Regions from separate parts of the Mus musculus genome. Here region 2 is reported to be linked to region 1. The links are microRNA targets in miRTarBase. Many come from high-throughput screens and were not tested one by one. Region 1 holds a microRNA gene; the other region holds the end of a gene's coding sequence.

Region 1 (6,264 bases):
AAATAGCCTATTGTCCCAGTCTAAGGAACTGTTCCTCTGAGGCTGTGTTGTAGAACACTGGGGCTTCCCTGGCTTCCCAGGGGCAAACCTCCAACACAATCGACTTTCTACAGAGCACACGTGATAGCCAAATCCTCCCCCTTTATGCTGCATCCAGGCAGTCAACTCAGAACGCCAGGTCAGATACCAGGCCCCAATACCAGACAGCCTGAATTAAATCCTCATTTCCTGTTCAGTTGCGTAGTTGTCCTTAGCCTCTCTGGGCCTGTTTTCTCTTCTGCAAAATGGAGGAGCGGATTACTCTCATCTCAAAGCTGGCTGAGGATGAATTCTTTTTCGTATTCTCATTGATTATCCCTCCCACCGGCTACACCAATCAAAAGCCAAGATAAGCCTGCTCGGTGTGTATAGGTGATTCCCAGCATGCGTGCCAGGTCTTGTCCGCCTTCTTAGCAGCGTCCCAGGTGACCAGTGGTGGCCCTCAGTCCTCTGAGTGGTGCCTGAGGTGGGAATGACAGGCAGGGTTCCTAGCTCAGAGCAGCCTTGCCATATAAGGGCAGGAGCCACAGAGCGTCCTGCCTAGGCCTGGCGAGACTATCCAGACAACCACTGTTTATTTTCTCCTTCAGCGTCCCCTCCTCTCACCCCTCCCGGGAGCTTCCCAACGGACAGAAGGGAGAGATCCCCTTGCCTGGAGACATCTTCTGAAGACATGGGAAAAGGAGACGAGGCGGGCTACTCCCTGGCAGCAGGCCTTCAAGCTGTTGACAACCAGTACCAAGAAGAGTGCCAGGTAAGATCTGGAGTCCACCTGGTTCAGCCACCGCTTTAACAGAATGGAGAACGGGAGATGAAGGGGCCCAGTGAGAAATATCCCTGCTCTCTGGAGATAGAGCTTGGCTCTCTAAGCCTCTCTCATCTTCGAAACGGCAGCTCAGGGAGGGCGAAGGAGCCTTTCTTGGGGTGAATGAAAGGCTTCTTCAAATACTTCTTCTCAGGGAGGCTACATTTGAGGGAGCCAGGGGTCCGGACAAGCTCTGCCTACCAGCCCAGGACGTGTATGTTCATGGGCCCAGAGAAAAAAGGCATTCCTTCCTGTCCTACTGTTCCTTCCCACCATCCCAGTCCCCACCCCACCCCTTCCAGGAGGCCTTTTGAGCTACTCAAGGGGTGGGGGGAAGGAACCTCCCTGGCCACGAGCTCTTGGCAGTCTTTCCACGGGCTCTCTAGAGTTCCGATGAGTCTGCCCCCATGCCCTCCTCGGTGCCTTCCTTCCCCCTCAGCCTCTGTGTCCTGCAAGGACAAGGACAGTATTAAGGCTGCAGTGCAGGGACATACTCCCTTAGCACATAGAGATGGTTCTGGATCTGCTGAATGAGCTGTCGCACACCCAGAGAGCTAAGAAACTGAGATGTCAGGCATGGAGTTGAAGGTGAGGGGCCAGGCCCAGCATGGTGCCTTACACTCCAACCCCGGGGAAAATTCTATTTCCTTGGAGTCTTGGAGACCTATGGGGATATGTGCATTTAAATGTTCACCAGCTTGACTATTCTAGAATCACAGGGACAGAATGAGACAGTCTTTATCCAGGGATGGGTCAAGGAAGAAGAGGCAAAGACCTTTCCTGGCTGAACGCCTCCCTCTCCATACTGTCTGGCCATTTATGTCTCCTTAAGGAAGATGGACCACCTTCTGTCTAGTTCTCGTGTCCCGCCAAGAAGATGTAAAATCTTTGCCACGTTCTCCTTTATCCCAAGGTGGGATGGCAGCAGCTCTCATTTCCCCTTTCTGAGTTGCTGACTGCAAATCTAGAATGCCCTATCCCCATTCCTGGTCCTCCAACCAAGGTGATCATTTCCAGCCACAAAAGCTGACCAGAAGGTAGAGCAGGCTCTGCTGTCCCGCCCCAAACCTAATCAGTGGATGTCCTGTTTTTCACTGCAATTTTATTGTAAAGAGTAAGGGGAATCCTTTTATGTACCTAGGTTGGAATACTTGTTATAAATGGAAAGCTAACACCAGCCAGAGTTTTAAACAATAATAATAATGAAGATGCAACATCAGTACCACACTGTCATCTGCTTCTGTGGCTTGTCAGACACCGACCTGAAGCCCCTTCCTGAAATAAACAGGCCTCAGGAAGAAGTCAGAGGCAGAACAGCTAGGCTTTCCTCCCCACACACAGGGCTCCAGGTCAACAGGCATTGTGGCTTATGCGTGTAATCTCAGAATTCCTGAAGTAGAGGCAGGGGGATCAGCAGTTCTATACACTGAATGAGTTTGGGGCTAGCCTGGTCTACATGTGTCTCTGTTTCTAAAATGAAAGGACAAAAGGGAAAATAAGGGGGAGGGGAGGGCAGACAAAGAGGCAGGGGACGACCCAAATGGTATGTCACCAAATGACTCCCAAAGATCTCCACTCCCTCTGCTTCCCCAGAAAGCAAAAGCAATGGAGGCAAAAGGGCTTTGGGCACAGCTGACCCTGGGGAAGGCTCCTAGCAACCCAGCTAGGCTGTGTCCACCACTCCTAGCTACTTACTGAAATGTCCCTTGGTCAACTTCAGTGCCACCTCTCCCAGGGTCCATGGGAGCTGTGGGGGAATGTCCTGGAGAAGACATTCTGACTCAAGAGAGTCCTGTATTCAGATCTCCTGGTAAAAGGGCTGTGGAAAGTGTCTGAGGAGTCCAGACAGAGGGAAGATGGTAATTGGCTGGGGAGTGCCTGAAGGCAGAAGTTTCCTGGCCTTAACAACAAATCAAAGAAGCTTTTCCCACTGCCCCTGCACCTCACCCCTAACTTCAGGGAGCTAGATTCCTATTGGGAGGCCTAGGAGCAAAGGGGTTTCTAAAAATGGAGGCGCACTTTTTTTTTCTGTTCTCTCCAGCCCTGAGGAAAGGCTGCCTACCCTCTTCAGAAAACCCTGAAGGTATGTATCATCCATCACCAAGGCCACCGCAGTCACCACGAAGCAAAGGTTATCTGGGGACCCTGGGGGAGGGGGGTGTCTTAGCAAGAGCAGGGTGAGTAGGTGGTTTGGGGGTCAGGGGTGTTCTGTTCACCCCGAAGTTCCCACACAAGCCGTGGCCACAGAAGATGGTCACCACGTGTCATCTTTTGTCTGTAGTCACATGCAAAGTCATCGGCAGGTTCTAGGGACCCCAAATCATAATATATGAACCCTGGCCTCAGGGAACTGGAGAGGAAAGCTGGGGTGACCCAGAGATAAACCGCTCCAAGGCCACAGAGGATGAGGTAGGTTGCAAGCCACTCAAGCAGTGTTCAACGGCGGCCTTGATCCGGGGGTTGAGGGAAGCCAGCAGACTCCCTTTCCTTACGAAGGAAAGTGGCCATAGTTGAAAAGGATACCCCAAGAGCTAGGGAGAAACAGGAGTGCAAAGGATGGGCGAGCCCATAAAGGAGATGTCCTGAGAACTAAAGAAGAGACAGTTTCTCACTAGCAGTCATTTGTGCTGCGTGCATAAAGAGACGGATGGGGGGCGGGGCACAAACAGGGGAGCCACAGGTTGAGCAGGCAGGCCCTGGGTTCCATCTTTAGCACTGAAAAAAAAAAAATTAACTGCATGCTTGAAATGGGTGGGTCTATCACAAGAAAGCTAACTTAAAACGACAAAAGGACAAGAAAGTGGAAATTTCAGTCCCAGAGGGCTCCAGGGTAAGCCAAGACCCGGATAGGAGGCAGACCACTGCGCATGCTCACACTCCTCCTGCCCAAGAAGAAAGCCGCGCGGCCTGCGTGCGGAGCGCCTGTCTCCCAGCCTGAGGTGCAGTGCTGCATCTCTGGTCAGTTGGGAGTCTGAGATGAAGCACTGTAGCTCAGGAAGGGAGAAGATGTCCTGCAGCCGTCACCGGGACGTGGTAAGTGTTGGCATGGGATAGCGGACTAGATAGGTTGTCCCTAGATTCTGCTCCAGCAGCTTGTGGCGATGTTCCTGGGCTCAAGCTGTACCAGGGCCGATCACTCTTGTGCCCTCTACAACAGTAAGCTCTGGTCCATTCAGGGGCTGCCAGCACCAACACCCTGCCTCTACTTCCTCAGCCTAGAGAAGACACTGCTAACAAAGACGCTACATCTACCCATTCTGGGGAGGTTCCAACACACCCTCGGAACCCTTCTCAACACTGCATAGTGAATAGCCATTGTATATGGTTCTGCGTTGAAACCCCTTCGTCTCTGTAAATCAGACAGTCCTTAACAATCCTTAGCCCCAGTAGAGGCTCAGGATCCCGGCAACCCAACGATACGACACTGTCACGTTGCAACCACGAAATGCCAGACATTAGGCCTGAGGTCACAGTCTTCACTTTTTGAGCTCTACCCTGCCTCTGTGCTACTGCCTGAGCCAGGCTGGCATCTCACAAATGTCTGCCCTTGTCCCAGAGGCTTCAGAGAGGCAAGGGGCAACAGAGGAGAGTCACTGGGGTATATCCATTTGTTGCTAACCTCCCAAGCCTGGTCTGAGGAAGGCGACCCACTTCCTAGAGGAGAGTAGAAGAGAACAAACCCCACCCTGGTCTTGGTTACTCTCAGCTGTAGTAACAGCAGAGACAGAACCACACACTCCTGCATGCCAGAAGAGGGCATCAGACCCCTTTATAGATGATTCTGAGCCACCAGGTGGCTGCTGGGACTTGAACTCAGGACCTCTGGAAGAGCAGCCAGTGCCCTTAATCGCTGAGCCATCTCACCAGCCCCTGACCATTCATACATATTTCTAAGCGTCCATGGCTTCGCTGCCTTCATGCTGGCTCCTGACCCATCCAGTGGGTCCTATTTGATGCCACTTTACAATCGTACGAGGATCAGAGGCCAAGTGACCTGCTGGAGGACCGCAGCGAGAAGGTCACTAGAGCCTGGGAACGGACTTTTAATAATCACTGGCCAGAGTCCCCGTGGACCATGGCGGGGGGAGGGAGGCAGGGAGGACTGGTCCCAAATGCTTCCTGACCTTAGGGAAGGTACTTTCCAAGCCACTCAAAGCTCTAGTTGCTCTTCCCAGAGCAGGACGCTGCATCCCGGGAAGGAGGGTGTATACAGCGCCCCACGGTGGATGCCGAGAGAACTGCTGGTCCCTAGGGGCGTGGCACGTGCTGAAGGCATCTCTCTCTCTCCCACCTTGTCCTCACGGTCCAGTTTTCCCAGGAATCCCTTGGATGCTAAGATGGGGATTCCTGGAAATACTGTTCTTGAGGTCATGGCTTAGCAGCTGGATCTGTCTCCCTCCCACCCTGGCATTTCCTTCCGGGGAGTAGGGAGGAGGAGGCGGTTCGTCGGAGGTAAGCGGTCTTGGGAGCTCTCTTCTGACCTTTGTATAGCTTTTCTTTCCGCCCTGTCCATATTTCCTAACATCCCCAGGAGGGAGGCTGGATGTGGGAAGCTCAGAACTGCCTCACTCTTGAGAAACTCGTCTCAAGACACAGTGGTTGAAAACCAGACTATGAGACGGCTCCCCTCCACTCTGACCCTCCACATGCCTTCCCTGTAGACCTTGTGGTGAGGAGGGGCCACAGACCCACATCCACACTATTAAGAAAGTCATTCGTACATTTATTTTTAAAGTTTATTAAATCAGCTAGGTAAACTAAAAGCCATTCATCTCCGTTGGATTTGGAGGGCAGCCACAGGGAAACGAGTTTTCAAGGTAGAAAATACAAGACTTGGAGCGCCCCTAGTGGTGGCTCTTCCCACTGCAGGAGCACCTTGTGATCCCTGCGCACAACCACAGACGTGCTTAATCCTTCCTTGTTCTTGCCAGAGATGCTTCCCGGCTTACAGTCGGCTTTTCCTTAGGCCCAAACAAGAGCCAGGTCGCCTAGAAAGCAAAAGGCAGAGCCAGGGTTGATTTCAAGCGTGGAATTGAATGTCTGAGACAAAAGAAAAAGTAGAGGCAGGAACTACTTATAGCTCCCGGCCCCCCAACTCTTGGGAGTTCTTCCTTGTTTTTTCCTTAGTAAATCTTTGCTCACTGTGCTAAAAACAAACAAACAAATTTTAAAAATAAAAAAATAAACCACATGCCTTTAAGCTCAGCTTCGGGAGGCAGAGGCAGGGATAGAAATCCAGCAATAAAATGGAACTTGGGTTGGAAGGATGAGACGGCGCTTATCAGCAAAGATGCTGGCCACCAATCTGAGGACTTGAGTAGAATTCCCAGAACCCTCGTGGTGGGAAGAGAAAAGTGACTCCTGAAATGTGTCCTCTGACCTCCACATGCGTACGTGCACACACATACAATAAAAAGAAA
Region 2 (6,264 bases), not on the chromosome of region 1:
GGAGAAAGCAGTGGGACTGGTAGTCTGGAAGGTTCCTTTGAGCCCAATAGTCCTGTCAGAAGGCATGGGGAAGGGTAGAGACATGGGGCAGATACAGTGGGCGTGTGGGGGGTGGGGGCTGGGGGCTGGTGGCTTTCCCAGACCTGGAACTCCAGAACACAGCTGTTGTTGGTGTCTTAGAGACATGGACCTTTCTAACCTCACATCTTTTCTCTCTATACTCCAGGATCTTCGGCTTCCCTGCTCACTACACGGACGTGTCCAACATGGGCCGCGGCGCCCGTCAGAAGCTGCTGGGCAGGTCCTGGAGTGTACCGGTCATCAGACACCTGTTTGCCCCCTTGAAGGACTACTTTGCCTGTGAATAGTTCTACCCAGGACTGGGGAGCTCTCGGTCAGAGCCAGTGCCCAGAGTCACCCCTCCCTGAAGGCACCTCACCTGTCCCCTTTTTAGCTCACCTGTGTGGGGCCTCACATCACTGTACCTCAGCTTTCTCCTGCTCAGTGGGAGCAGAGCCTCCTGGCCCTTGCAGGGGAGCCCCGGTGCTCCCTCCGTGTGCACAGCTCAGACCTGGCTGCTTAGAGTAGCCCGGCATGGTGCTCATGTTCTCTTACCCTGAAACTTTAAAACTTGAAGTAGGTAGTAAGATGGCTTTCTTTTACCCTCCTGAGTTTATCACTCAGAAGTGATGGCTAAGATACCAAAAAAACAAACAAAAACAGAAACAAAAAACAAAAAAAAAACCTCAACAGCTCTCTTAGTACTCAGGTTCATGCTGCAAAATCACTTGAGATTTTGTTTTTAAGTAACCCGTGCTCCACATTTGCTGGAGGATGCTATTGTGAATGTGGGCTCAGATGAGCAAGGTCAAGGGGCCAAAAAAAATTCCCCCTCTCCCCCCAGGAGTATTTGAAGATGATGTTTATGGTTTAAGTCTTCCTGGCACCTTCCCCTTGCTTTGGTACAAGGGCTGAAGTCCTGTTGGTCTTGTAGCATTTCCCAGGATGATGATGTCAGCAGGGATGACATCATCACCTTTAGGGCTTTTCCCTGGCAGGGGCCCATGTGGCTAGTCCTCACGAAGACTGGAGTAGAATGTTTGGAGCTCAGGAAGGGTGGGTGGAGTGGCCCTCTTCCAGGTGTGAGGGATACGAAGGAGGAAGCTTAGGGAAATCCATTCCCCACTCCCTCTTGCCAAATGAGGGGCCCAGTCCCCAACAGCTCAGGTCCCCAGAACCCCCTAGTTCCTCATGAGAAGCTAGGACCAGAAGCACATCGTTCCCCTTATCTGAGCAGTGTTTGGGGAACTACAGTGAAAACCTTCTGGAGATGTTAAAAGCTTTTTACCCCACGATAGATTGTGTTTTTAAGGGGTGCTTTTTTTAGGGGCATCACTGGAGATAAGAAAGCTGCATTTCAGAAATGCCATCGTAATGGTTTTTAAACACCTTTTACCTAATTACAGGTGCTATTTTATAGAAGCAGACAACACTTCTTTTTATGACTCTCAGACTTCTATTTTCATGTTACCATTTTTTTTGTAACTCGCAAGGTGTGGGCTTTTGTAACTTCACAGGTGTGGGGAGAGACTGCCTTGTTTCAACAGTTTGTCTCCACTGGTTTCTAATTTTTAGGTGCAAAGATGACAGATGCCCAGAGTTTACCTTTCTGGTTGATTAAAGTTGTATTTCTCTATAACGTGCTGTGTGTTTTTTATCTGCTGATGTGTACTGGCTTGAGGCCTGCTGCCATGTTTGTGAGCCACTGTCTTTACTCCCATAGTTCTCTAATACAGAACCAGGTGAGTTCCAGGCCAGCCTGGACAACATCGTGAGTAAAACAGTGACCTGCTGGATCCCATGGCCTTAACAGAAGGACAGTCATAACAAATAAACATGCTGACCTGTGTCGTTCTTGGTTAGTTACCAAGAATCATGAGACTTAGTGAGTAATTTAAGTTTAATTGTAAAAACTGTGACCTGTAGTCATTGGTTGGTAAACGTGGTCAATTATAACAATGCCACGGTTAGGTGTGTGAGGTGTAAGTGAAATGGTTCGCATCTTTGGCTTAGTTCTGCTTTTGTATAACATTATTGCCTGGGGATCCTATTCAAATCAAAACAAACCCAACCCCCAGGCTAAAGGGGTGGTTGAGTAGCTCATTGCTCTTCCAGAGACCAACGTTTGGTTACAGCACCCACAGAACCACCTCAGTTCCAGGGAAGCCATTGCCCTCTTCTGACTTCTGGAGTGACAGGTACCAGGCATACATGTTGTGTGCAGGTGTCCTTCAACAAACAAAAGAATTCTTGAAGAGGGCAGCATGAAGCAGAGTTAGGGTTTTTATTAAAAATGGAAAGATGCTCAAGAAAAATATCAAGAGAGCATACATACCAGTTTTTCAATAAAGACTCAGAAATGGAAAAATGGCTCAGTGGATTAAGGTACTTGGCGCTAAGCCTGATATCCTAACCCCAAGACCCACATGGTGGAAACAGGCTGACTCCATGCAAGAGATCCCCTGTCCTCCATATGAACCCTGGCACAAGTGTAGGTGGACACACATGTACATAATATATATATATACTGTATAAGAACTGGGGCTTGCTAACAGTTTCAGAGGTTTAGTCCATTATGGTAGGGACAGGGTGGCATGTGTGGTGCTGGATCAGAGCTGAGAGCTACATCCTGATCTGTACCTGAGAAAAGAGTGGGGAGCCTGGGCCTGGTGTGGACTTTTGAAACCTCAAAGCCCAACCCCAATGACAAGCTTCCTCAACAAGGTCACACTTCCTAATCTTTGGTCCTTTCATCAAACAGTTTTACTCTCTGGTGACTAAGCATTTGAGTTTTAAATGTTTAAAAGCCATACATAGATTTAAATAAGTCATCCAGATGGAGAGACTGTAAATGTATCTTCTGGTGAGATTCCTAGCAGATTGTAGGTTTATAGTTGGGAAGGGATAAAGGCCTTAAGCAAATTTTAACTGTCTTGGAATTCTAGATACACTTGAAGGACTCCAGGGTAAGGGACTCTTTCAGTCTTAAGGGATCTTTGGAAAGTCAGTTGTGTTGGATGGTGTTTTGCTAAGGCAAACATGTTTCACTGAAGCAGACACAGGAGAAACGATGCTCTGCTGAATCAAGACATGGAAGGTCACATGATGAAGGATTGTTTGCTAATGTACATATTGGTCCGCCTTGCATTGCCTAGTTGAGCTCTATTTGTTGAACCCCACAGAGAGAAACTCATTAAAAGACTTCTGGTAGTGTGCTGCAGTTTGTTGCCACCTCTTCAGACTGGCTGATTGGCAGAGTGATGTCAACTGAGACAAATGCACATGTTGAAACAAGACCCATGGAAGATGTGATGTTTTGAGGGAGAAGAAATAGATGGGACAGTGGAAGGCTGAGCTGAGCTTGCTGATAGAGCTAGCTGTGCAACACTTGTTGGTAGCTCTTGCGTCTACACTGATCACAGACTTCTGACAGCCCTCCTGGGTCCCTCCTGCTGATTTGTGCCCAGGTTAAGGCCTGGCTGTCTGCTAGGTAGTGCTATCCTGACTCTACAGACCTGTACTGCTAATATATCTGTGAAGTATTTGCGAGTGGATTGAGCTGCCACTGCTGACTCTTGTGAATTGAATAACACGGATAAGCTTTGACCAAAGAAAGAGCCATTTCCAAACAGGCCCACTTTCCCCATATCCTTCCTTTTCCACGCCCTCTGGTGGGTGGTGGGCTAAAAGGGAGGATAAAGCATTTAAGAACCATCATTAAAAATAAGAATTGAAAAAAAAGTAAAATGTTCCCATAATAGTTTCTTTGTATTTTTGTCCGAAGTCATCGGAATTGAATTTGTTGGGTCTTATTTGGGCCTGGGAATCACTGCACAAACCACTCAGAAACAGAACTCAGTCAAACGGGGTTGGTTTATTGAGTTTACACGCACGACAAGAGTGATTGATCAGGGAAGCAGTCCAGACTTGGGAACTGGCTGAGATGCCCAGCTAACATCGTATAGAGTGCCCTGGCTAACATTCATGTTTTAACCTGCCAACCAGGATGTAAATGTCTCTGTCAAGTAGGATGTCAATTTCCAGGGAGATCTTGGAAACTTAAACATTATTTGACCCCCTACTCAAAATGGCAGTTTTACTCTAAACGGCTTCTTATATTGGTGCAGGTGTCTTTCTTATATTGAGGGCCGTCCCAGGGGCAGCTAATAAAGGCAAGCAACCATAAAGGCTCATATCTAGCTAGGTGCAGGAGGGACTGCTGGGTGGTCGGTCCTGGTCCAAGCTTATTATGGCTAATTATACAAAGCAGTTCTCTCTCTCTGTCTCTCTCTCTTTCAGTTTTTTGAGACAGGGTTTCTCTGTATAGCCCTGGCTGGCTGTCCTGGAACTCACTCTGTAGACCAGGCTGTCCTCGAACTCAGAAATCCGCCTGCCTCTACCTCCCAAGTGCTGGGATTAAAGGGGTGCGCCACCACGCCTGGCTTTACAAAGCAGTTCTATCTGGCCTCTGTTGTGATTTGGTTTCTAAGGATACCAAAGCACAGAACATAATATGCAATCAAGTCGAGCCTGAGAAATTTTTCTAGTAACAGCACATGAGAAAGTTTCCTTGGCTATCTAGACAGATAAGAGTTACCCAGGCCTTAATAGACCTGTTTGTAGAACGTGGACAGAGGAGAGCAACTGAATTAGGCATAGTTTAGTCATGGGTACAGAACCTGTGTATTAGAGAATATAAGACAATGGCAGGAACTAATAGTATAGAGGGACAGTCACTGCAGCCAAGGCCAGCCCAACTCATGAACTATCCTTCAAACTTGGGGAGAAAACTTTTCCTTTTGAGACGAAGTCTCACTATGCAGCTCTGGCTCACCTGGATCTTGCTGTGTAGACCAAGCTGAACTCACTGTGATCGGCCTGCCTCTGCCTTCTATGTCCTGAACACAGGCACGAGCCACTATGCCCAGCTAAGAATTTTTTTTTTAAATATTAATTGCATTCTCTTTTTTAAATTTTTTTTTTAAGATTTATTTATTATATGTAAGTACACTGTAGTTGTCTTCAGATACACCAGAAGAGGGCATCAGATCTCATTACGGGTGGTTGTGAGCCACCATGTGGTTGCTGGGATTTGAACTTCGGACCTTCGGAAGAGCAGTTGGGTGCTCTTACCCACTGAGCCATCTCACCAGCCCTAAGAATTTTTTTTAATGAAGCAGGCTCATGCGTATCTGTACTGGCTAGTTTTGTGTCAACTTGACACAGCTGGAGTTATCACAGGAAAGGAGCTTCGGTTGAGGAAATGCCTCCATGAGATCCAACTGTAAGGCATTTTCTCAATTAGTGATCAAGGGGGAAAGGCCCCTTGTGGGTGGGACCATCTCAGAGCTGGTAGTCTTGGTTCTATAAGAAAGCAGGCTGAGCAAGCCAGGAGAGGCAAACCAGTAAAGAACATCCCTCCATGGCCTCTGCATCAGCTCCTGCTTCCTGACCTGCTTGAGTTCCAGTCCTGACTTCCTTGGTGATGAACAGCAGTATGGAAGTGTAAGCCGAATAAACCCTTTCCTCCCCAACTTGCTTCTTGGTCATGATGTTTGTGCAGGAATAGAAACCCTGACTAAGACAAATTGGTACCAGCAGAGTGGGGTATTCCTGTGACAACATGACCATGTTTTGGGGAGGACTGTGGAAGGACTTTGGAATTTTGGGCTTGAAGATCCATTTGTTGTTAAGAGCTCTGTCGGATGTTGTGTAGGAGCTTGGAAGATAATGTTGAGAACACTGCAGAAGATGGAGGTCTGGTTTGTGAAATTTCAGAGGGAAAATTAAAGACTCTTTTCAGGGCCATTGCTGTTTTGATTGTGAAGATTCTGTAGTTCTGGATAGCTGGGGCTGAAGAATCAGCTGTGATTAACAAGATACCAGAACTACCAAAGCAAAAACTTTGCATTACTGAGACTATTGATGCTGGTTAGCTGGAGCTAAGAAATTAGCGGTGATTAAGAAGAGACCAGCATCATTGAGGTGACATCTTCTGGGAAGTGTTTTCTGAAAGCACAAAGAGGCTGTGTTCCAGAGATGGCCAAGGTTGTACTCCTGCTGCAGCGGGACTTGGTAATATGTAAGGGTCACCCAGGTGGTACTGGTTTTGAAGGCATGAAGGGGTCACGCAAAGCAGCTGAGGCTTGGCACTGTGAGAGGCCATGGAAGGCCATTGGTGAAAGTGCAGCCTCAGTTGCAATT

The links. The annotated mature microRNA mmu-miR-143-5p reads GGUGCAGUGCUGCAUCUCUGG and lies in region 1 at 3,783-3,803, shown strand. An mRNA with a match to its seed (bases 2 to 7 or 8) in the 3' UTR can be bound and repressed. Matches are read on the target gene's strand: a 7mer-m8 pairs with bases 2 to 8, a 7mer-A1 pairs with bases 2 to 7 and ends in A, and an 8mer does both.
Region 2: the mRNA of Dnmt3b is a reported target of mmu-miR-143-5p. The part of its 3' UTR that is shown has no 7-base or 8-base seed match.

What each region holds. Positions count from the first base shown.
Region 1 is chr18:61,646,772-61,653,035 of GRCm38, reverse strand. It overlaps Mir143 (microRNA 143), which reads left to right and starts at 3,778; the gene lies at 3,778-3,840. Carmn (cardiac mesoderm enhancer-associated non-coding RNA) reads left to right here. Exons shown (of 5, transcript NR_045402.1): 3 at 630-793; 4 at 2,886-3,129. Mir145a (microRNA 145a) reads left to right here and starts at 5,142; the gene lies at 5,142-5,211. Bvht (braveheart long non-coding RNA) reads right to left here. Exons shown (of 3, transcript NR_045420.2): 3 at 5,551-5,832.
Region 2 is chr2:153,686,032-153,692,295 of GRCm38, forward strand. Dnmt3b (DNA methyltransferase 3B) reads left to right here. Exons shown (of 23, transcript NM_001271744.1): 23 at 227-1,699. The coding sequence ends at 368. Among named protein-coding and RNA genes, the nearest start is that of Dnmt3b, 40 kb to the left of the region's middle.